4 linked regions of the Callithrix jacchus genome follow. The main gene of each other region encodes a partner of the protein of the gene in region 2 in a complex. Links are inferred from orthologs where the notes say so. Each region holds a gene or a part of one and is shown on either strand. Other genes may lie near its edges.

The links. Proteins that work in one complex are often made in the same cells at the same time.
Region 1: TAF1B (region 2) and POLR1B share a complex: the UniProt entries of both Homo sapiens proteins name them as parts of the pol I pre-initiation complex. The link is inferred for Callithrix jacchus from reciprocal best matches to the Homo sapiens genes TAF1B and POLR1B.
Region 3: TAF1B (region 2) and RRN3 share a complex: the UniProt entries of both Homo sapiens proteins name them as parts of the pol I pre-initiation complex. The link is inferred for Callithrix jacchus from reciprocal best matches to the Homo sapiens genes TAF1B and RRN3.
Region 4: TAF1B (region 2) and POLR2H share a complex: the UniProt entries of both Homo sapiens proteins name them as parts of the pol I pre-initiation complex. The link is inferred for Callithrix jacchus from reciprocal best matches to the Homo sapiens genes TAF1B and POLR2H.

Annotation. Positions count from the first base shown.
Region 1 is NC_133515.1:22,053,545-22,059,871, forward strand, and holds the start of POLR1B (DNA-directed RNA polymerase I subunit RPA2), read right to left. Parts: upstream 4,334-6,327; 5' UTR 4,302-4,333; coding exon 4,125-4,301; intron 1-4,124. UniProt on the Homo sapiens protein: Catalytic core component of RNA polymerase I (Pol I), a DNA-dependent RNA polymerase which synthesizes ribosomal RNA precursors using the four ribonucleoside triphosphates as substrates.
Region 2 is NC_133515.1:105,060,740-105,066,495, forward strand, and holds part of TAF1B (TATA box-binding protein-associated factor RNA polymerase I subunit B), read right to left. Parts: intron 3,249-5,756; coding exon 3,178-3,248; intron 2,678-3,177; coding exon 2,455-2,677; intron 1-2,454. UniProt on the Homo sapiens protein: Component of RNA polymerase I core factor complex that acts as a GTF2B/TFIIB-like factor and plays a key role in multiple steps during transcription initiation such as pre-initiation complex (PIC) assembly and postpolymerase recruitment events in polymerase I (Pol I) transcription.
Region 3 is NC_133513.1:13,151,434-13,157,726, reverse strand, and holds the start of RRN3 (RNA polymerase I-specific transcription initiation factor RRN3), read right to left. Parts: upstream 4,334-6,293; 5' UTR 4,309-4,333; coding exon 4,220-4,308; intron 2,385-4,219; coding exon 2,279-2,384; intron 1,646-2,278; coding exon 1,589-1,645; intron 1-1,588. UniProt on the Homo sapiens protein: Required for efficient transcription initiation by RNA polymerase I (Pol I). Required for the formation of the competent pre-initiation complex (PIC).
Region 4 is NC_133516.1:13,339,983-13,346,213, reverse strand, and holds the start of POLR2H (DNA-directed RNA polymerases I, II, and III subunit RPABC3), read right to left. Parts: upstream 4,334-6,231; 5' UTR 4,212-4,333; coding exon 4,139-4,211; intron 2,585-4,138; coding exon 2,501-2,584; intron 2,418-2,500; coding exon 2,324-2,417; intron 1,181-2,323; coding exon 1,097-1,180; intron 1-1,096. Other genes in the region: CLCN2 (chloride channel protein 2), read left to right, coding at 6,203-6,231. UniProt on the Homo sapiens protein: DNA-dependent RNA polymerase catalyzes the transcription of DNA into RNA using the four ribonucleoside triphosphates as substrates.

The DNA of each region.
Region 1 (6,327 bases), about 83 Mb from region 2:
CTCAAGATTTTATTTGAGTACCTACTATGTGTCAGAGACTGTAGCAGGCTCTAAGGATACAGCTATGAACAGAACAAAGCTCCTGTTCTCCGAACCAAGAGCCTTGTGTATTCTTACCTTGTCTATGTGTGTAGCAAGACAAATGAGCTCTGCTGCTAATAAAGCAAGGATATGGAAACAACCTTTAGGACTTAAGACTAGATGCTTAATGTACAATGGTTACTTCATACTGGAGCCAGAGCCATGAAAAGGAAAAGATGGTGGCCAGCGGGGGTTTCCCCTTCCACAGAAGTTACTTCTTTGCACCACTCTGTGGAGGAAGCTTTGCTGTTCTGAGGAAGAGGGGTCACCAAGCTCTCCTACATATTCATTGCAGGCAACCTCCTAGCCTTAGTCTTAGAATAATGAGAATGAAAAGAATGGAGCCAAGAAAGAATACCAATGAGGTTCTCCACCCTCACGAGAGTTAACTGACCTTTTCTAAATATTTAAATTTTATCTAAAGCTGGTATTATTTTAGAATTTCATATTTTATTAAAAAAAAAAAAAAGCCAGGTGCAGTGGCTCACACCTGTAATCCCAATATTTGGGAAACTGAGGCAGGGGACTACTTGAGCCCAGGAGTTCGAGACCAGCCTGGGCCACATAGGGAGACCTTGTCTCTACAAAGAAATAAAAATAAAAAAATTAGCTGGCCATAGTGGTGTGTGCCTGTGGTCCCAGCTACTTGAGAAGTTGAGGTGGGAGGATCACTTCAGTCTGGAAGGTCGAGGCTGCAGTGAGCTATAATCATGCCACTTCATTCCAGCCTGGGTGACAAAGTAGATCTTGTCTCAAAAAAAAAAAGAATGGAGTATTAGTTTAAAAAAAGAAAGATTACAGGATTTGCTTTCTCAAGACACAGCTGCACTATTTAGATCTAAATACAGTGAATTGTTGTCATTCACAATGTTATGTTCTATACAGTTGCCATAAACACTGAATTAGCCAATACTGAACCACTGCTCCTAGGGTAAATACATGGGTAGCTTCCTGTAAGCCTCTGGTCACATTTCATCAACTAATCAACACACAATCTCGCATTATGTATGTTTCTGTTTAAAGGCAGCCTATTTAATATATATTACTGAGTCCCTAACTCAGGCTTGAAAAAAGCCTATGTTAAATGCATGTATTAATATTATCCCCAAAAGGCACAGCTTGTGGGATAGGAACTTTATACAGAACTTTAATACTTTGCTTGGGGGCCATTTTAAACAATAAAATCCCCAACAAAAAGCACAAAGAAGGCACTAAATAATAGTGAAGATGACCCCTGTTTATAGTTTATAAACTTAAAACAAGAAGGCCGAGCATCACCTTGTTGGATCTCAGCTGGAAAAATGGATACTGAACAACTCAACTTTTTCACTGCTTCTGGGCACGGTGCTTTTGCAGTACAAGTAAATTTTAGTGAGTGGGTAAATTTGCAAAGATAGACTCCCCAAGTAATAAAAATCAATTGTATTTTGAAAATATTTTGAAAAGACAGACCCATAAATTCTGACTCACAAGAGGAATTCACTCCAAAGAAAGTAGGCAAAATTACATTTTGTAAGTACATAAAAATATGATAAAACTTTTTTTTCCCCTTGGCTTTATAAATAGTAGTCATTTACTTTACTGTGTTTTACAGAACATTTTCAAATATGTTATTATTACAGTCCTAGATAAGTTGTGACATTATTTTCTGTGCAGGGCCAAATTTTCTTCATCTACTTCAACCAAAACAATGTATCACAAGGAGCTGAATGCAGAAGCAGACATGAGAATCCAGCTGTCTTTTCATTAAGCCAGACATTAAAAAGATTTTTAATAATGCAATTCATCTAATTTCTTTTTTGCTCTGAAAAATGATTTTCATAAAAATGTTAACATACAATTGGTTTATTTTTATTTCTGTTTATTTATTTATTTTTGAGACAGAGCCTTGCTCTGTCGCCCAGGCTGGAGTGCAGTGGTGCAATCTTAGCTTACTGCAACCTCCACTTCCAGGGTTCAAGCGGTTCTCGTGCCTCGGCCTCCCAAGTAGCTGGGAATACAGACATGTGCCACCATGCCCGGCTAATTTTTGTATTTTTAGTAGAGACAGGGTTTCACTGTGTTGACCAGGCTGGTCTGGAACTCTTGATTGACCTCAAGTGATCCGCCTGCCTCAGCCTCACAAAGTGCTGGGATTACAGGCAAAAGCCACCACACCCAATCAATTGGTTTATTGATTGATTGATTGATTGATTTTTGAGATGGAGTTTCACTTTTGCTACCCAGGCTGGAGTGCAATGGCGCGATCTAGGCTCACCGCAACCTCCGCCTCCTGGGTTCAGGCAATTCTCCTGCCTCAGCCTCCTGAGTAGCTGGGATTACAGGCATGTGCCACCATGCTCAGCTAATTTTTTGTATCTTTAGTAGAGACGGGGTTTCACCATTTTGACCAGGATGGTCTCGATCTCTTGACCTCGTGATCAACCTGCCTCGGCCTCCCAAAGTGCTGGGATTACAGGCGTGAGCCACTGCGCCCGGCCCGAATTAGTGCTTTTCTAAAATTTCTCAATTTGATTATCTTTTTTTTAAAGACAAGGTCTCGCTCTGTTACCCCAGCTGGAGTGCAGTGGCACAATCATAGCTCATTGCAGCCTTGAATTCCTGGGCTCAAGTTAGCCTCCCACCTCAGCCTCCTAAGTAACTGGGACCACATGTGCCCACCACCATGCCCTGCTATCTTTTAACTTTTACAGAGGACGAGGTTTCACTATGTTACCCAAGCTGGTCTTGAAATCCTGGCTCAAGCCATCGTTCTGCCTCGGCCTCCGAAAGTCCTGGGATTACAGGTGTGAGCCACTGTACCTGGTCTAATTAACTTTTAATTAGGTATTTTTTCTCACAGACATGATACTCTAAGAATCCAGGCACAATACATACAAATATCCCCACCACTCTTGTCTTCCCAAAAAATAAATTTTAATGCCTCCCGTATTATTTGCGGAATAGAGTTCAAGTATCAGACTGGCAATCAAAGCTCTTCACATTATCTCTACCCGTATCTCTCACAACACAAATCTTACACAACAAAACCACAGGTAGGGTCCCCTAAGCATGTGACTCTGCTCTACTCTTCCCCTGGACGGAATGCATGTTTCTCACCTCTTGAACTCATCTAATCCTGCCTTTTCTCAAACTCCTGGACTAGTTGCGCTGCCTATATGCTCCCACAGTAGCCCATAAAATCCCTTGACAGAGCAGTGCTCGCGTATTGGCATGGACTACTTTCCTATCTTCACTCCTTTAACCCCAAAACACGACAGGGACCACTTAAATGTATGAACTGTCTCTTACACGGGACTGCGGCCTTCACATCCTCAGAGCCTAGTGCCTAGAGACACTGGGGATACTTACTAAACGAAACTTTCCCCCACCATCCTCACCTCAATTCTGCTACCATTACCCTACGCTAGTAATGCTATTACACTTTTCGATTCAATCTTGCCTTTACGACTCATTTATACCTTCTTTAGCACCTACTTAATTCAGAACAAATGAGTAGTTTCTCTCTTTAAAGCTCTAAGAAAAGGAAACTGAAGGATAACCTTGTACATTACACTGTACCTACAAATACGTTCAGAATATTTTGAGGTACGTTTTGGAGAGGTGTCTTCAAGTGATACAAAGGCATGTGCATTGTGAATGGTTGGGAAGCACACCCCCAATAAGCCATTTCCTCACTCTCACAGAACCCAGAAACTATCCAACAAGAAACTATGGTTCGCAATCACTTTTCAATCCAGAAATCACGAATACATCTCTTAGACGACTCGAATACACGTTCCACGAGGCCCAGCTCTGCGTCTTGTTCAACACGTGTGCTCTCCCGCTTACCCTCTGAGCCTGTCAGGATCAAGGAGCAAACGCATTTTGGGTCACACTGTGGCCTCTGAGCCATTTCTCTGGGACCCTGTCACCGCCCGCGCCCCACAAGGCCCAGACCTCACCCCCGCCCCTCCCTCCTCCAGCTCCGCCTGGCCCCTCTCGCCCGCCAGCCTCGAGCTTGGTCTCTCCGCGGCAAGGGCGCCAGTGGATGCCGCACTCACCTGCACCGCGAGGCCGAGACCCTCGTGCACAGCATAGTTGAAGGACTCCACATGAGCCCGCGTCAGCTCCTGCAACGCTGCCTTTTGCTGTTCCCGCGGGATTCCATAAGACGGGTCGGTCAAGTGCTTTAGGCTAGGCCCATTGGGAAGGTTTCGCCACCGGCTGCAGGGATCCATGCGGCTACTTGCACACCTAACACCCGTCGCTCAGTACGCGCCGGAAGTAGTGGCCGGAGTCCCGCTTCCGCAGCCTGCTGGGAAATGTAGTTCCCTCTTGTTCCGCCCGCCCTAGGCCCTACGGTTTTTATGGGGTCGACGTAGAACCAAAACCGTCGAGTGAACGGGCCGGTTAAAGCTGTATCCAGCCAGAGCGTGGCGGGTCCGCCCCTTCTCCCATCTTCCGCTCCACGCATCTCCCTCCTCTGCTAAAGAAGGCGAAACCCACTCCTCACCCAGTTGAGCGTGTGACCTCTTTGGCTCTCATTGGCTCAGTCAATTAGGATTGGAGGTAAGCGGTCTTCTCAGGTTCCCATCTATCCGGTCCCTTAACCTGTTCCAAGTCCCACGCTGATGCCGACCCTGGGGAGTCATCCGGACAAAGTCGTTGTTTCAATGAAAAATCGGATGCCGGGCCCCGGGCTCTTTACCCAACTCCTAAATCGCGAGGCTCACCCCTGGAAGGCCAAGGTCGGGCCCGCTAACCTCCCCGCATCGTCTGGACTGGAGTCCTGGGGGAGGCCCGGGGAAGGAGGTGGGGTAGGGGTCGGGCGGTCTCAGATGGAGAGGCTGTGGTAGGGGGGCGTCCAACATTTAGTACAATGTTGAAGGGACAAGAATAAATATACTTGTTTTGTGCCTGATGTTGGAAGAAAGCTCCCAACTGGAGCATTCACATCACCATTAATATGATGTAGGCTGTGGGTTTTTCCAAAGATGCTCTTTATCAAGTTGAGAAAGTAATTTATTTCTAGTTTGTTGAGAGGTTTTCTTCCCAAGAGTGTTATTGCCAAATGCTTTTTCAGTGTATATTGAAATGATCATGTGCTTTTTGCTCCTTTTTTCTACTAAAGTGGTATATTAAGTAAATTTTGTAAGTTAAACAAGCTTTGCATTCTTTTTTCCCCTTCTCAACGTTTATTTTAGAATCAGGGGTACCTGTGCAAGTTTGTTACAAATGTATATTGCGTGATGCTGAGGTCTGGGACACGGTTGAACCTGTCACCCAAGTTCCAATAGGTAGTTTTGTATCCAATAAGTAGTTTTAAACCTTTGCTCCCCTGCTTCTCTCACTGCTCTAGTAGTCCCCAGTGTCTGCTGTTCCATCTTTATGTCCATGTGTACCCAATGTTTAGCTTCCACTTTTTAATTTAATTTTTTTTTGAGACAGGGTCTTGCTCTGCCACCCAGGCTGGAGAGTAGTGGTATGAACTTGGCTCACTGCAACCTCCTTTTCTCAAGTTCAAGTGATTCTTGTGCCTCAGCCATCAGAGTAGCTGGGATTACAGGTATGCGCCACCATGCCCAGCTAATTCTTGTATTTTTAATAAAGATGAGATTTAACCACGTTGCCCAGACTGGACTCAAACTCTTGGCCTCATGTGATCTGCCCACCTTGGCCTCCTAAAGTACTGAGATTACAGGTGTGAGCCATCACCCCCAGCCTAGCTCCCACTTACAAAAGAACATGTGTTATTCCAAACATTGTAATCTTAGGATAAGTCATAATGTATAATCCTTTTCCTATGTTCCTGGATTTGGTTGACTAGTATTTTGTTGAAGATTTTTTCTATTTGTATTCCTAAGAGACTATTGGTATGCTATTTACTTTTCTTGTGACATCTTTGTCTGGTTTTAGTATCAGAGTATTAAGAGTGAAGTCATAAAGTTAGCTGAGGATTATTTCCTTCTCTTCTATTTTTTAGGAAAGTCTGTGAAATATTGGTGTTAATTCCTTGCCATCTGGTCCTGGGCTTTTCCCTGTGGGAAGTTTTAAAGGAATTATTATTAGTCGGGCCAGGCACGACTAATAATACACCTGCAATCCCAACACTTTGGGAGGCTGAGATGAGAGGATCACGAGGTCAGGAGATTGAGACCATTGTGGCTAACACGGTGAAACCCCGTCTCTACTAAAAATACAAAAAATTAGCCAGGTGTGGTGGTGCACACCTCTAGTCCCAGCTACTCGGGAGGCTGAGGCAGG
Region 2 (5,756 bases):
GATCTTTCTTTCAGTTAGATGGGAGTCACTGGAGGTTTTGAGAGGAGGAGATCGGTATTATCCCCACTTTTACAACTGGGCCTGCACAGCTGTAGAGATGGTGAGTAACCTTCCTGTAATGAGCAAGTGGTAGAGCTGGGATGGAAATGGCCCGATTCTATGATTCTATAGCAAGTTCTTTTAGCACTGGACAATTTCCTCTTAGGATATTTCCATGTTAATATGGGGATGAGAGTGCGTTAAAAATAGTCTCAATGAGAAAAGCCTTTATGCTTTTATTTTTCACAGTTAATTACTGAGAACTTTAGTCAGGGAATATTAGTCTAGTCCTTTTAACAGGAAGACACGGAAAGATAAAGTAACTTCAGAGTCACAAAACTGTTTTATTGAACGGCCTTTTTGCTATTATTAGATAAAACTGAACTAAAACTTAAAATAGGCAAGGAGGAAAAAATTTTATGGCATAGCCAGAGTCTGTTTCGTTTTTCCCCTCAATATTTATCATAAAAAATTTCAAACATACCGCAAAGTTGAAAGAATTTTACAGTAAACACCAATATACCCCACTGATTATCTCTGTAATTTCTGATCCATATACTCCTCTCTACAGCTATTAAAACACTACAGAAGGGAAGTGGGAAAAACACTCTCTTATTAAAAAAGAATCTTCTCTTCTAGTGGCCTTGGAAAACATACTTCCTGAATTACCTTTTTATCTACCTAGGACTCAGGATAATGACTTATTTTTCTCAAGTATTCAAAAAATACTTTTTGAGTTGATTTTCAGTACAATTAAAGAAAAAACAAACATGCTCTGGGGAGTAATATGTTCTTCACTACCTACTGCCTGAGGAAATTTCCTGAGTCATATAAAAATAAACAGCTGGGCGCAGTGGCTCACACCTGTAATCCCAGCACTTTGGGAAGCTGAGGCAGGAGGACTGCTTGAGTCTAGGCATTTGAGACCAACCTGGGCAACACAGGGAGACCCTCGTCTCTGCAAAAGATAAAAACTTAGCCGGGTGTGGTGGTGCACACCTGTAGTTCCAGCTACTTGGGAGGCTGAGGTGGGATGACTGATTAAGCCCCGGAAGTTGAGGCTGCACTGAGCCATTATCGTGCCACTGCACTCCAGCTGGGGTGACAGAGCAAGACCCTGTCTCAAAAAAAAAAAAAAAAAAAAGAAAAGAGAGAAAATAAATGACCTACAAACAATAATTTATACTGTATTATTCCAATATCTACCTTTTATGGGGAATATAAAACTCTTCAGAAAAAGTAAAGCAAAAATGAGGCAGCCTATTACTAAGCCAGAAGTCTCAGAGCCAGTGTGCCAAAGAGCTGACAATTAATTAAACCTGATGAAAGTCAAAAGCCTGTGTGTCTTACTATTTAGACATACAGGTTTTCCACTATGTTCTATATAGATTCCTCTCCTCATGCAGCTTCCCATCTTTAATCCTACTTTATCCAGACTCAATAATCATAAAAGCACATGTTGTTTTCTAGACTTCACATACCCACACCCAACAGATATGAGGACAGAACATAATACATGGAATCAGGGGGACAAAGGTTAATGAGGATCAGGGTATTTGACTGGCCATGTATCTCCCTGCAGATTTTTTATTAGTTGTAAGGGGAAACATAGTAACTACACTGTGGAAATCCAACGCACCACCTTGATCACTATTAACATGTGAGGGGCAAATGCATCCCCGGTCTCTACATGCCATACTCTGAAAAGTGATACCCTGAGGACGCAGCACTTGTTTTGGCCAAGGATGCGGAACCAAACACGAGGAACCACCACAACCGTCCTGAGAAACATGCTCTGACATCACTGACATTCTGAAAACTACAGGCCACTGTCATGAAAGACAAAGAAAGGCTGACGGACAATCAGACGAAAGGAGACCAAAGAGATAGAATCAATCAATGTCATACCTACTCCTGAACTTGATCCTGCTATAAAAGGACACGGGGGGACTACTGGCAAAATTGGAATGTGGACTATAGGTGAGATAAATGTATAGTATCAATATTAGGTTTCCTGAGTTTGATTGCTGGGGTCACTTAAGAGAATATCCTTATTTTTAGGAAATGCTTAAGGAAGTATTAAGAGGTAGAAAGACATGAGAAAGGTAACTGACTCAGCGAAGTGTTAACTGAAAAATGTAGCGTATTCTCCTGATCAACATTTACGGCCACTTCTATTGCCAGCCTGCCACAGTACTGGTTAATTTAGCTACTGTGAACAGTTTGTGCTAACTGCCCTGTATCCTCTTTCTTGATTTTTACCAGATTTCCTAGAACTCTTACTCAAGACTCAATGTATAATTCTGATTTTTGTGACTAAGCTCACCAGCTTCTAATTCCAACAAAAAACCTATCTGGCTCTTACACACTTAATTACTTAAATTATATGTAGCTTTTTCTAAAAGCATTGATTACCATCTGCAGAACTTCTGTGTACTGAGCCAGTATAATGAATTCTTGGTTAGCAGTGACTGGCCTTTCTCTTTCAGGACTCCCTGGAGGCTGTGTCCATGGAAACAAGTTCTCTCAGTGTCTTCTTCAGTCCAGTTGAACTGAAAACTTGAAGGGCTTTTTTTTCCAGCAGTTGGTGTTGAATCAACTAGTGTGCTAAATTGTTTCTGTAAATTCACCACCATTTCTGGAAATGGAGAAAAGAAGGAAACAAATCACAAAGCCTGGAGTTTACTTGATAGCAATGTACCGATACTGGTTCCTTAGTTTTGGCAAATGTACCGTGGTAATGTGATGGGATACCGTTAATGGAAAATGAAACTGCATGAGGTGCATGGGGGACACTACTTAAAAAATGGTTTATCACATATATTTTACTCAATTAAAAAAAAAAGAATGTACAATCTAAATGGCATTCTATAAGCAAAGAATTCCCAAAGTCATAGCGATTTAGGACTTGAGATTTTTGTCAGGAACTGAGGCTGTGTTTTGAAGCACAGCGTGTTCCTGAAATAGATTCCTGCAGAGATTTCTTGCAGAGCATGGTGCTCCTTTGGATGTATACATGCCCTGAAACAGTTGTTTTAGAAAAGTAAAAAGCTTAAGCATTCACATTTCAAGTCCAGATATTTAATTTTTCTACAACTGTGTTGATACTTGGTATTAACAAGACAAAATATGACTCACCTCTTTTTTTATACGCTACTGGTTTGTCGACATATGAGTAGTAGAGTGGCTTTTCACTTTTCCACAGGTACCTGTACAAGGTAAAGAAACAGCTGGAGCAGGATGGAGATGAAACAGACCTAAACACATTTCAGAGAGCGGTTTGTCTGAAGCACTCTCTGAGATTCCTGATCTTTAGGTACAATTCTGGCTTAGAATGGCCAGTTGGCACATATCTATATTGTCTATTGAACTTGGGCCCTACAAGGAAGCACTGACTAAGAGTCCAGGCCAAGAGAATAGTGTGCTCCTCCCAAAAGCCGCCCAGATGCTGTGAGATATGAAGAAGTTATTAATTATACAAAAAACATAGAAATCGTTTCCTTCACCATAAATTTCCCTTGCTGCTCATTCTCATAAAGTGAAGCCACCTCAGAAACAACTGTTCCTCCTTGCCTTTCCTCCAATGCCTTTTGGCCAAGAGTTAAGTTAGTAGTACTTCTGATTCAGATAACTTACACAGAGTGAACAGTAAATACATCTCTCTGGCACCTGATGCCAGCAAATCTTTTCTATTCCTGGAGTAAGGAGAGGAAAAGACTGAATTCCAGGATGATACAGTCCCAATAGTCCCTGCCCTGACTCAGCTTATTATTGCCAAAGGAAGGGCAGCCAGGAAGTTTCCATTGTGAAACGGGGATCCTGGATGGCTATGGTTCTTGGGGTTCCCTCCAGGACAAACACTAAGGTTCCTACAGATTAGGGTGATCAGTCCTAGACTAAGGCCGAAAGGAAGTGACATATTCTATTTCTGGTTCTCGTGGCTGTTGCTAAACTGCCAAGCAGAAATTGCTGCTCTGGAACAAAGATAACAATGTTCATTTTTAAGTCTCATTTTCACCACTTCTGTGTTCCCTAGAGCAGAGGAGTTTCATAATGTGTAATAAAAAAAAATCGCCACGTGCAGTGGCTCATGCCTGTAATCCCAGCACTTTGGGAGGCTCAGGCAGGTACATCACCTGAAGCTGGGAGTTCGAGACCAGCTTAACCAACATGGAGAAACCTCGTCTCTGCTAAAAATACAAAATTAGCCAGGTGTGGTGGCACATGCCTGTAATCCCAGCTACTTGGGAGGCTGAGGCAGGAGAATCGCTTGAACCTGGGAGGTGGAGGTTGCAGTGAACCAAGATGGCACCATTGCACTCTAGCCTGGGCAACAAGAGCAAAAACTCCCATCTCAAAAAAAAAAAAAAATCCACCTTCTTTTTGATCCTATGCCCCTTTCTTATTTTGAAAGATACTGTGGCAACAAGAAAGAGTACTGAATCAGAAGACCTGGCTCCACCACTTTCTAGTGGCATGACCTTGAATGACAAATTATGGAGGTTCTCAAAGGCAGAGACTGTCTCAGCCATCCTTATGTCCCTAGTGTTATCAGGGAATGGTAGATAGTAGAAACTCATTTAAACATTTGTTGAAGAATTGGATGAATAAATGAACAATGAATTTAGCATCTCATCTCTAAACTTATCCTCTGCTTTCACAGGGTTGTTCTGAGGAATAATTAAGATAACGTATATATGGGTGCTTTAAATCCTATACAATAATTAGAATTATTAGTTAGTGCTTGACAAAGTGCCTGGCTAGTAGACTCAAGAAATATTTGTGTACTTTCTACAAAAGAAGATTACAAATAGGAAGCCAGAAATGCAAGTATTTTTAAAATCTGTAGTATTTATAATAATTACTCATTTATTTTTAATACTAGGAAGTAATACGTATATAAAAATACACTTTTTAAAAAAATTTTATTTAATTTTAATTTTAAGACAGAGTCTCTCTGTCACTAGGCTGGAGTGCAGGGGCACGTTCTAGGTTCACTGCAACCTTCGACTCCCTGGTTCAAGTGATTCTCCTGCCTCAGCCTCCTGAGTAGCTGAGATTACAGGTAGGCGCCACCATGCCCAGATAATTTTTTGTAGTTTTCTTTTTTTTAGTGGGGGGAGGGGTTCACCATGTTGGCCAAGATGGTCTTGATCTCCCGACCTAGTGATCCACCTGCCTTGGCCTCCCAAAGTGCTGAGATTACAGGCGTGAGCCACCACCACGCCTGGCCAAAAGCACACATTTTAACAATATTTTAGTAATATCATTTAGCAAATCATCATTTTAACCAATTTAAGAACTGATTTTTTTTCAAGGATTTTAAAAAATACTTGATCAAGTCAGCAAAATCATGACTATACATAAAACAGATGTTGACTTTTTATTTTAAATTTCTGCAATGATTTTAAATGTTAAGAACAGAAAGGACATTTTTCTAATAATCAGTTACAGCAGAAATGTAAGTAATATTACACAGGAGATGGTCTTCCTGAAAATTGTGTGAATCTAAACTTCAGTGAACCATACCACATTTAAAATATATCACAGAGTTTGTCATTTAACTCTATGGTAAATGAGTCAGTGATTCTTTAAAATATATTTTTCGTTATTAATTTCCTTTTCTTTTCTTTTTTTTGAGATGGAGTCTCGCTCTGTTGCCCAGGCTGGAGTGCAATGGCGTGATCTCGGCTCACTGGAACCTCCGCCTCCTGGGT
Region 3 (6,293 bases), on a different chromosome or scaffold from region 2:
ACAGGAAGGCTTCAGAGATTTTTTTCCCGAAGGACTTGATCCAGTGAATGGACCTGAGGGATAATAAAATTCAAGAAGACCCCAAGGTGCCTACCCTAATAATGTGGTAAGCAATGAACAGTTAAGCACACAAGTCTGCAGAAAGGGTGGGTGTGAGAGAAAGATTAAGAGTTTATTTTAAGACGTGCTAAGTTTGGAATACACATAATGATTCTGAGTAAATGCACCTAACAGACACGAAACAAGTCTAGGCCGGCTCACACCTGTAATCCCAGCACTTTGGGAGGCAGAGGTGGGTGGATCACTTGAGGTGAGGAGTTCAAGACCAGCCTGGCCAAAATGATAAAACTCCAAATCTACTAAAAATGCAACAAATTAGCTGGGTGAGGTGGCACAGATACTCGGGAGGCTGAGGTGGGAGGATGGCTTGAACCTGGGAGGCAGAGTTTGCAGTCAGCCCAGATCATGCCACTATACTCCAGTCTGGGTGACAAGAGCGAGGCTCTATCTCAAAAAAATTAAAGTCCACTGAAATCAGTGTGTAAAAAAAAAAAACACACACACACATACATACAGGTAACCTCTGTCAGGGTAATTACTACAGTGATAAGAAGAATGGGCTTAAATGTGAGTGAGAAATGATAAGGTGCAGAGAGCAGGAACAAAAATATCAGCTAACAATCACTGCCCTTACTTTGAGTCAGAGAATGTTCTAAATGCTTCTTGTATATAAGCTCATTGAATCTTTGTTAAATATTTCCATGTAGGTGCATTCCACAGTGGCATGTACCTACAGTCTCAGCTACTTAGGAGGCTCAGGAGAAAGGATCATTTGAGGTCAGGAGTTCAAGGCTGTACTGTACTATGATACCACCTGTGAGAAGCCGGGGCAACACAGCAAGACCCCATCTCTTAAAAAACAAAACACTCCATATTTTTAAAAATCTCTATTGTTTTCTTGGTTTACACAGTGGAAAATAGAGGCAGAGAGGTTAAAACAATTTGCTCAAGATCACATGCTGGATAACAATTAAACTGAAATTTTATCCCAGGCAATCTAACTACCATTGCCATGGTAATCAACTATTCTTTTCAAAATTGGCAGTAAAGGAAGAACAGTGAAACAAAATGTATTGAGTTTTTACTACATGACAGGTAAATTTTGAACTTGAAACAGTAGTTTTTGTTTTGTTTTAGCTTTAAAGAGACAAGAGAGTTGCATGCAGCATGAAGTCTAAGAGAAAGGAAGCACTAGAGCAGGGTTTCCCAGCTGCCACACGGGTGTCAGCTGGGGCTGGATCAGTCTTGGTTATGGGAGTCTGCCCTGTGCACTGTGAGATGTTCAGCAGCATCTCCGTCATTCACCTGCTAGATGCCAGTAGCACCCCTTCCTCCCAAATAAAAACATCTGCAACCATCACCAAATTCCTAGGGGGTAAAACTGTCCCTGGTTTAGAACACCAGATGAAAGTAGGAGAGGACCTCGGAAAGAGCAAGTTCTGGAGGACATAATGGGACCCAAAGAGCAAACTAATGTCCATATAAAGTGGCAATAATTTTGTTAATGATTAAACACAAAATTAATTACCTTTATGTCCGGATCTAACAGCTGGTTCTTCAGCAACTCAAAGTCATTTGTTTCACCCTTAACAAGACGGGGAAAGAATTAAGTTATGTTTGCTTTTGTTTCCTGTTTAGTATCAACAGGACTTTTAGCCATAGTTTAACATCAGATGAAATTATAAAAGGAACACTAACTTTCACACATCAGCCATAATGATCTAATTCAGGAAGATCTAAGAAAGTATGCACTCAAATGTGGATACAAATGGATATTACGTATACACATCCAGTCATTTCCCTCTACTGCTGAGATTTAGCAGAAATGCTTCTAACCTACCACAAAAACAAAAATATCTATTCCGAGAACTGGCTTACCGTCCCAAAGTTGTATTAAGTTCCTCAAAAAAAATAAAATGCTGTAATTGTTTTTAACTCTAGCACTTGCTAAAGTTAAAAGATGCTATGTAAGTAAAGCATGTGAAAAGGTGAAACCTCAGAACACATTATTACTCTCACCTATGAAATGGGCCACGGTGGAGGGGAAAAAAAGGACATTACTACTTTAATTTTGAACTGCCAGCATCAAACTATTATGAAATATTTGATTTCAACTGGTATCTAAACTCATCTTACATTTCTATTGGTCTTCAGTATAACAGCAATAGTTGTATTCTGACCTGACCAAAAGCAAATTTCATACATTACCTCCTCTTACCTTTTTGTACTTCAGCAAGACTTCTGTCACGGTTCCACCAAACCGAACAGTTTTTCTTGGGGGAGAATTGAAAAAATCGTTTTCTAATGCAAGCATACTTGAAATCCTGTGGAACCAAGATTAACAAGCTATTAAGTTCATGAAAATAATAAGAATTGTAATAGCCAACATTTATTGAGCCAACATCATTCAATGAGGCTGTTTTTAAGGGCTCTTTACTGCTCTCCCTGCTTCCACTTTTCTCCAACAATCCCTCCTTTGCTCAGCAACCAAAAACTGTCTTCCCACTGCACTTATACTAAAAATCCAAATTTCTTAGTGTGGTCTTTAAGGTCCTACATTAATCTGGCCCCTGCCTACGTCTCTGACCCTATCTATCTCCCAATAACTTGTTTTACTACAGCCATAATGTCTTTCCTGCTCTTCAAATATGTCAAGCTGGTTCTCATTTCACTTACTGTTCACTCTATTGGAAATACTCTTTTCCCAAATCTATATGGCTGGATTTTTGTTTGTCTGTTTTTTGCTTTTGAGACGGAGTCTTTCTCTGTTACCCAGGCTAGAGTGCAGTGCGGTGATCTCCACTTACTGCAACCTCCATCTCCTGGGTTCAAGCACTTCTCCTGCTTCAGCCTCCCACAAAGCTGGGATTACAGGCACCCACCACCATGCCTGGCTGATTTTTGTATTTTTAGTAGATATGGAGTTTTGCCATGTTGGCCAGGCTGGTCTTGAACTCCTGACCTCAGATGATCCACCTGCACCTTGGCCTCCCAAAGTGGCTGGATTACAGGAGTAAGCCACCACACCAGGCCTGGATTTTTGCCTTCATTCAAGTTGAAGCTCAAATGTCAGATGTTTTCCCCACGAGAAATATCAAATATTCATTTTCTCCCTTCTCCCTCCCCTATTACCCTGTTGTACAACTGAAATCATCGTGTTCATTTGTTTACTGGTCTCTGTACTGCCTTCCCCCCCGCCCCAGGCTGTAAGCTCTGTAGAAAGCAGGGACATTCGTGTCTTTGGATAAACTACTCGTCCCCAGTATTTAATACAGTAAGCAGGAGCTCAAGAAATATTATGAATCAGGCCGGGCGCAGTGGCTCACGCCTGTAATCCCAGCACTTTGGGAGGTCGAGGCGGGTGGATCAAGAGATCAAGAGATCGAGACCATCCTGGTCAAGGTGAAACCCTGTCTCTACTAAAAATACAAAAATTAGCTGGGCATGGTGGTGCGCGCCTGTAGTCCCAGCTACTCGGGAGGCTGAGGCAGGAGAATTGCTTGAACCCAGGAGGCAGAGGTTGCGGTGAGCCGAGATCGCACCACTGCACTCCAGCCTGGGTAACAAGAGCGAAACTATCTCAAAAAAAAAGAAAAGAAAGAATCTTATTACGCTAAATGTTTTACAAGGTCTTCACTTGCACAGAGTAAATAAATGAAAAAACACAGCATCTTAATGACTCTGAAAGTTAAATGCCAACTGTGCTATGTGGGTTAGGGATTTTAAAAGTGGAACAAAATAAAGACTGCTAAACAAGTTATGTGTCGAAACAAATTTCAAACCAAAAAAATTGTAATATTTTATTAGCCATGACTGACAACATTGAGCGGATAAACCAAACAGCCCAGAGATTCCCTTCCAAGAAGCGGGAAGGAAGAGGCGTCAAGGCGCAGAAAGCAGTACCCAGGCCTGGGAAACCACCAAGAAACATATAGTAGGGAAAGGGGGCCAGAACAGAGAATATACTTACTTTTCCAGCCCCCTCCTATGTCTATTACCCACTTAGAGGAATGAGCTCACTCCTGCGAACGTGAGATGGCCCTCGATCCCCTGCTCCTACCTAACCATTAGCTTTGTCCCAGACCCTTTCAATCTGCTCCCCAACGCCGTGTCCTGAGCTTTGGTCCGGACGCGCAGAAGGAAGCGGCCTGGATCTTACCCGGTCCTCGACGTGCCCAGCGTGTTGACCGTAGAGGCCGAAGCGGCCGTATCTCCCGGCAACCGCGTGTGAAGCAGCGGCGCCGCCATTGGGCCGAACCAACGCGACTTCAGCACCTCCCGCCGGATGCGCGGTGCCTTCCAGCCCTCTGTCCCGGAAGTCGCGCGAGCCAGCGCAACCTTCAGCCAATCAGAGCCCCCGCTTGGGGAGAGTGAATACTCTCGGCGGGCTAGAGCGCCGCCAAAGTCATCCCCTCATTCTACTTGGAGGACTTGTACCGCCCAACGAGAAAGCGGGAGTGTAGAGACTTGAACTGCCGGCTCCATCCAGCCCTGAGGATTCCAAAGAAAGGGTGAAAGCACCCTGGAGGTGTTAAGCTGTGGCCGAGTACACGCGATTGTTAATGTTTTGGAGTCAAAGCGTCCGTCAGTCTAATCGAAGAAGCTGAAGCCCTGTGATTAACCCAGATCCTCACGGAGGAAACGGGATTCAAACCCCGCTGACCCAGGAGCCTGGGCTCTCTACTCGATGCAGCATCCTCACAGATACTCAAGATAACGTTATCTTCACGGAAACGAGGTCGACGAAGTGACCTTCCCCAAAGCCTCAAGGCTGTGATGATGCTGGAATGAGAAATAACAGGAGTTTCCAAATGTCACCCCTTGACCTTTTTTTTTTTTTTTTTTTTTTTTTTTTTCCTTTTCCAGATCGAGTCTTGCTCTGTTGCCCAGACTGGAGTGCAGTGGCGTGATCCAGCTCACTGCAGCCTCCGCCTTCCTGGTTCAAGCAATTCTCGTGCCTCAGTCTCCTGGGTAGCTGGCATTACAGGCGCATGCCACCACACCCGGCTAATTTTTGTATTTTTAGTAGAGACCAGGTTTCACTATGTTGTTCAGGCCGGTCTCAAATTCCTGACCTCAGGTGATCCACCTGCCTCGGCCTCCCAAAGTGCTGGGATTACAAGCATGAGCCACTGTGCCAGGCCAAACTTAAGCTTTTAAAAGAGAATCACGAATTAGGCCCACCAACAAAATAGCAATGGATGTTCTAAGCAGAGGAAACAGCAGAGGCCAAGACCTAGGGACTGTGGGGGATGTAGAGGGAGAACAGGGGCTGCCCCTACCCTCTGGGAGGGGAAGAGTTTGCAACTTTGGAAAGTGTACAGGCCTATCAAAAATACCCAGCCTGCGGCCAGGCGTGGTGGCTCATGCCTGTAATCCCAGCACTTTGGGAGGCCGAGGCGGGTGGATCACGAGGTCAAGAGATGAGACCATCCTGGTCAACGAGGTGAAACCCCATCTCTACTAAAAATACAAAAATTAGCTGGGCATGGTGGTGCATGCCTGTAGTCCCAGCTACTCTGGAGGCTGAGGCAGGAAAATTGCTCGAACTCAGAAGGCAGAGGTTGCAGTGAGCCAAGATCGTGCCATTGCACTCCAGTCTGGGTAACAACAGCGAAACTCCGTCTCAAAAAAAAAAAAAGAAAAGAAATACCCAGCCTGGATGACACAGTGAAAGCTCATCTCTATAAAAAATTTTAAAAATGAAAAATAATAAAAATTATATGGGTGTGGTGGCACACACCTATGGTCCCAGCTACTTGGGAGGCTGAGGATTGCTTAAGCCCAAGAGATAGCACCACTGCACTCCCACCTGGGAAACAGAGCAAGACCCCATCTAGAAATAAATAAATTTAATTAATTAATCAATTTTTTAAAAAAATGTATATGAGTGGGCCAAGCCCAGTGGCTCATGCCTCTTATCCCAGCACTTTAAGAGGCCAAAACAGGTGGATCACCTGAGGCCAGGAGTTTGAGACCAGCCTGGCCAACATGATGAAACCCTGTCTCTACTAAAAATACAAAATTAGCCAGGCGTGGTGGCGGCACCTGTAATCCCAGCTACCTGGGAAGCTGAGGCAGGAGGATTGCTTGAACCTCGGAGGCAGAGGTTGCAGTGAGCCGAGATCAGGACACTGTACTCCTGTTTGGGCGAGAAAAGCAAAACTTCATCTCAAAAAAAAAACTGTGTGTGTGTGTGTGTGTGTGTGTGGTGTATCTCCAGGAGTTCAAGA
Region 4 (6,231 bases), on a different chromosome or scaffold from region 2:
AAACTCTCAACCTCAGGTGATCCACTCACCTCAGCCTCCTAGAGTGCTGGGATTAGAGACATCAGCCACTGCGCCCAGCCAGCATTGTTCTTTCTATTAGCAAAGTCGAAAAACACCTATATGCTCCAAATCAGGGGAATGGGATCCACTTACTGAAATGTTATCTAACTATTAAAATGTTTAAGAAAGCTTTACACTAACATGGGGAAACATTTTCTTTTTCTTTTTCTTTTTTTTTGAGACGGAGTCTCTCTCTGTCTCCTGGGCTGGGGTGCAATGGCACAAGATCTCAGCTCACTGCAACCTCCGCCTCCTGGGTTCAAGCAACTCTCCTGGCTCAGCCTCCCAAGTACCTGGATTATAGGTACCTGCCACCATGCCCAGCTAATTTTTTGTAATTTTTTTAGTAGAGACGGGGTTTCACTATGTTGGCCAGGCTGGTCTCAAACTCCTGACCTGGTGATCCACCCACCTCGGCCTCACAAAATGTTGGGATTACAGGTGTGAGCCACCACGCCCGGCCAAAACATGTTTTACATAATGTTAAGCAAAAAGCAGAAAAAAGGTAATTAACACCGCAGTCTCAAAGGAAAAATATAGATGTTAAGAACACTAGGATATTAACAAAAAATTAAAAATAAATTTAAAAAAAGAACACTAGGATATGCAAAAAAGTCTATGTAAAAGGTTCTCTCTGGGTATGGAATGACAGGGTTTTTTTTCTTCTTCACATTCTCTTCCGCATTTCAAATTACTTACAAACAGCACATATTGTTTTAATAAGATTTTAAGGAAAAGACACACACACACACACACACACACAGCCTAATAGTATAATCACTTAATGCTGCATTTGGTTCCTCCATACTTTAACAGGGAGATGACCAGTTTCTCTTCTGGACCACTAGGCCAGGAGGGCCTGACAAAGGGCAGTCTACAATTCAGACTGGAAACTGCTCTAATAACCATTTCTTTCTAGTTCCCACCTATGTCTGAGGTGCCTAAGGAGAAGGACCCAACAGAGGAAGCAGAAGCATAACTCAAAGTCTCAGAACAGGGAGGGGGAAAACAATCCTCACAAGATCATGTAACTTACAGGCGTGTTGCCGCTTCAGTAGAAGTTTCGTCTCCCTCAATCCTGTATACTTTCCCATACATTACATACTCAAATTGGTCAGCCCTATGGAGCAAGAGTAGCAAAGTTATTCTTAACAGTAATTAACAATATAAAAGATGCCATTTAAAAATGGTAACTGGTAACTCGATGCCAGCATTTTAACAACAGGCACATTATAAACATGACGCCATTTAGTCCTCACAGCAATTCTGTGAGCTAGGCAGGACCATCTCTAGTTTACTGATGAGGAAACAGGCTGAAGGAGATCAAGCTTACTTAGCAAGTAAGTGGTAGAGCTCAGAAATCAACTCGAGCGGGGTGCCAAAGCCTTTCCATTACACCAAACTCCCTCCCAAGACACAAGACCCACAGAGCGGTCATCTTCTCAGCCTTCAAAAAGCTACAACTCACAAGCATGTAATCACTGTTATAAATACCTGGTTGTTTGAAATTTTTTATCTTTTTTTTTTTTTTGAGACAGGGTCTTGCTCTGTTGCTCAGGCTGGAGTGCAGTAGCATGATCGTGGCTCACTGCAGCCTCAATCTCCCTGGCTCAGGCAATCCTCCCACCTTGGCTTCCCAGGTAGCTGGAACTACAGGCACATGCCACCATGGTCAGCTTTTTTTTTTTTTTGTAGCAGTGAGGTTTCACTATGTTGCTCAGGTTGCTCTTGAACTCCTGGACTCAAGCAATCCTCCTGACTCAGCCTCCCAAAGTGCTTGAATTACATGTGTGAGCCATAGTACCTGGTCTGTTTGAATTCTTAAGTGCAGAAATTTCCTTAAGGTTACTCAGATTCTGCTAATCATTATTTATTCTAGGAATTAAAGAAGAGTCTTTCGTTTTTCTTTTTTTTGGAGACAGAGTCTTGTTCTGTTGCCCAGCCTGGAACTCAGTGGTCCAATCTCTGCTCACTGCAACCTCTGCTTCCTGGGTTCAAGCAATTCTCCTGCCTCAGCCTCCTGAGTAGCTGGGACTATGCAGGTGCCCACCACCATGCCCAATTAATTTTTTGTATTTTAGTAGAGACGCGGTTTCACCATGTTGCCCAGGCTGGTCTCAAACTCCTGACCTCATGATCCACCTCCCAAAGTGCTGGGATTACAGGCATGAACCACTGTGCCCCGCCAGAAGAGTCTTTCTATATCACTTATCTACTTAGTCCTCAGGGCATATTTCAAGTATCACCTTCTCCACTCCCTCACCTGGAAGGCCTGTCATCAGTGGGGTTATATTCACCATCATCCAGGGTGCCATCTTCATACAAGGTACTAGCTATGACCAACCGGAACTTGTCACCTAAAAATAACAGCAATATCAGAGAGTGAAGAATAGCTGAAGCAGCAAATAGCCTCTTATTATTGTCTGTGTTCAATACTTACCCAAGTCTACAGGGTAAATTTGAATGTTTACATCTAAGATGAGATCCATCTTGAAAGATTCACTCTCACAATGTAGCCGAGACACTGGGGAAAAGTGGAAAAAGAGTAAGAGAGGTATTGCCAGGCCCAGGGAAGATCCTACAGTGTGGGATTGTATGCAACAGAATACTCAATCTAACCCAGCCTACATCCACTGGTCTCTCATGTCCTCTAAGGCAGGCTCAGTCAGACCCAGATATGCAAGGAGGAAATCAGGAGAAAAACTGTGGCAAGTGAACGTAATCCCCAGAAAACAACTAAAGATACTCCAGCAGCAAATAATATCCAGGTTCTAGGCCTGCCTGGATGGCTGAGAACCTGACTCTGGGCAAGTTATTGAATCATCCAAAGGTTTCCTCTTTCTGTGCTAGGCACTGTGCTGAGGGGGTTATCAAGATGTATAATGACTGGTATCCATCTTGAAAAACATCTGAGTCTCTAGGCAAAGAAACAGACACCAAAGAGAAAATTATTGATCAATGACAAAATAAAGAAATGGAGACTAGGCGCGGTGGCTCACACCTGTCATCCCAGCACTGTGGGAGGTTAACGCAGGTGGATCACTGGAGGTCAGGAGTTGGAGACCAGCCTGGCCAACATGGTGAAACCCCATCTCTACCAAAAATACAAAAACGAGCTGGGTGTGGTGGCAGGCACCTGTAATCCCAGCTACTTGGGAGGCTGAGGCAAGAGAATTGCTTGAATCCAGAAGGCAGAGGTTGCAGTAAGCCGAGATCACACCATTGCACTCCAGTCAGTGTGAGTGACAAAGTGAGACGCCATCTCAAAAAAAAAAAAAGGAGTCTTCATGAGGTGGGTGGTGCCTTCCCTGTTTTTCTCTGAGAGTTTGAGTAACTCACCCAAGGCTGCACAGCAAGTAATCTAACTTCAGAGTCTATATTCTTGTATCGCTCTCAGAATCTTTAGCGCTTAGTGAAGTCTTTTCTGAGAGTTAACTAGTTAACTGCTTAGCGTATATATATATAATTTTTTTTTTTTTTTTAATGGAGTCTGGCTCTGCCGCCCAGGCTGGAGTGTAGTGGCTCGATCTTGGCTCACCACAACTTTAGCCTCCTGGGTTCAAGCGATTCTCCCGCCTCAGCCTACCGAGTAGCTGGGATTACAGGCGCGCCACCACCACACCCGGCTCATTTTTGTATTTTTAGTAGAGACAGGGTTTCACCATGATGGCCAGGCAGGTCTCGAACTCCTGACCTCAAGTGATCCACCCGCCTCAGCCTCCCAAAGTCCTGGGATTACAGGCGTGAGTCATCGCGCCCGGCCGAGGTCTCTTAAGAATAAGTAAGGCAAAGGGTGTATGAGCCGCACAAGACAGTGTCTAGCACAGAGTAGGCAGCGATTATAAAGATGCTCAGGAGTTTGCCAGCACTATGACAAAAGGCCATCCAGACACCCAGCACGGCATGCGTGAAGCCAGAGAGCTGAGTCTCCGTTTTCTCATTCATAAAGTGTTTCCTGAGGGAGGTCCCTACATCAGGACCTGCTGGTAGGAGCAGGCCACAAGAGCTGGGTGGGCATGGGGCCCAGGGACATGTCCGCGAGGTTAGCGTCTTCCTCCAAACCTCGTACCTTACTTACCTCGGTCAAACTTCTTGCCCTCTGGGTCAATATCCTTCACATCGAAAATATCCTCAAACAGGATGCCCGCCATCGCAAGTGGGCCAGGAGAGCAGCAGAAGGGGTTAACGCGCGACCACGGCTGGGAGTACGCGCACCCCCTCGCGTGGAGAAGGGAGATGAGCAAAAGCACCTCCAGAAAGGCGGCAGCTAGACAAGAGTAGCGCATGCGCACAAACAGGCGGTAACGCGACCACTTCCGCCACAATCTTCCTCTCGGGGCTACCTAACTTCCTCCCCGAAAGACTGTTTCCGAGAGGCTTCGGCATTGAGGGCGGGTCTCACGGCCAGGTGGCTCCGCCCAGGGCGGGGAAACAATAGGTCCAACCTCCCGCGGCTGTAGAGCGGCTTCTGCTACGCTGGGGCTTTACTGCGCGCTCTTCAGAGTCTGAGTCCAGAAGATTGGAATGCGTGGGGGCCTAACCCAGGCAGGGACCTTGATCCTTGGCCCAGAGCGGCCAGGCCCTAGCCCTATCCCGCCGGTCCTCGTGCCCGCCAAGGGCACAGTCCTCGCCGAGGGCAGGTGGAGAAGAACCCCGCCCCAGAGGTGCCCAGCCCCTCCAGGAGACACCAAGGACGCCGGGGCCGGCCTGGGCCGGCTGGGCCCTTCTGGATGTAACCTGAGCCGGATCCGTCCAGTTTGGGAATTTGCCATGACGTCGCTTTGGAGAAATGGAAAGGCTGCATGGTCCCCTCCCCTCATACGGCACCCCACGACACTGCCCTCTTCCCCCAGGCCCTGGTTTTCCCGCGCACCGCCCCTTCAGCCTGGCTCCCGCCCCCTGGGCACTCCCCCTCCAGCTTGGTACTCTGCGTTCCCGTTTACTGGACACGGATCCCCTCCGTACCCCTTCGGCCTAGCACTGCCCTCTCCCTTGAATACCAGCTCTTCCCTCGCACTGGCCCTTCCTCCTGGGTGGCGGCTTCTCTCCCAGGGCCCCCCCCCCTCCCCGGGCACTGCCCCCGCCCCCCGAGCCCCGCCTCTGCCTCCCAAATAGCCCTTCCTTCTGGTACTACTGGCTCTCCCGCACCCTGTCCGCGTCCTGGGCGCCGCCCCCGCTCCTCTCACACTGTCGCTCAGCTGCCCGTCCACCCTGCGCGCGCTCCGCCCTCTTTTCTATCCTTCCCTGGCCCCTGACAGAGAACCCCGAGCACCAGCAGACCGTTCCCCGAAAGCGGAGGGACAGCAGCAGCGACTCGGGTTCCTCCTTGAGCCCAGCCAGGGAGAAGCGACCTCTGCTCTCCACGCCCGCGTTCCGGGCGTGGACTCCCGGCCCGTGGAGCTCCCCTCCTCCGGCCTACCCCTTCCGGGGCCCTCCCAACCTCCACCCCCGCACACCCCGCAGGCCGGGTTGCTCCGGGTGCACCTCCCTGGGGCAGCCCCGGGAAAGGAAGGAGTAAGGAAGACGGCCCCGATCCGCCCCGAATCCTCCCAGCTTTGCTGCTCACCCCTGACAGGCCTGTCAGAGCTGCAAGTCCCTTGGGACGGGGAGAGGGGAAGCGGCTTCTAACCGGCTGACCCGGAGGCGTCCGATGTAGATCACTCAGCACCCCCATCCCTGAGCCCTGCGGAGCTCGGGCATCTGCAGCCCCTCCTGCCCGGACGCAGGGAACCGCCAACCCGGCCCGGCCCCTCCACGTGCCCGCGGACCCGCCCCTGCCCGGCCCCGGGCGCCCCTCTCCTTCCCCGGCCTCCGCAGGGAGCCGGCGCGGGCTCCAGACTGCTCAGCGCCCCCTACCGCCTCTCGGGAGGCCCCGCGCGGACCCCGGCCTGGCTGGGCCGGCCCCTCCGGATGGGCTGGCGGGCGGAGCAGCGCAGAGGGCACCACCCTCGGCCCGCCCGCCGAGGAGGGGACAGGAGCCGGAGGCTGCGCCTGCGGCGCCCGCTCCGGGCCCGCCGCACTCTGCTCTCGGTCTCCCGGGCTGCGGGGACGGGACGGCCGCCGGCGCTGACTCTGCGGGCCGGAAGCCGAGTAGAGGGCAGAGCCCGAGCCCCGGAGGGAGGCGAGAGGGCAGTGCAGGGAGATGGCGTCGGCCGCGGCAGCGGAGGAGGG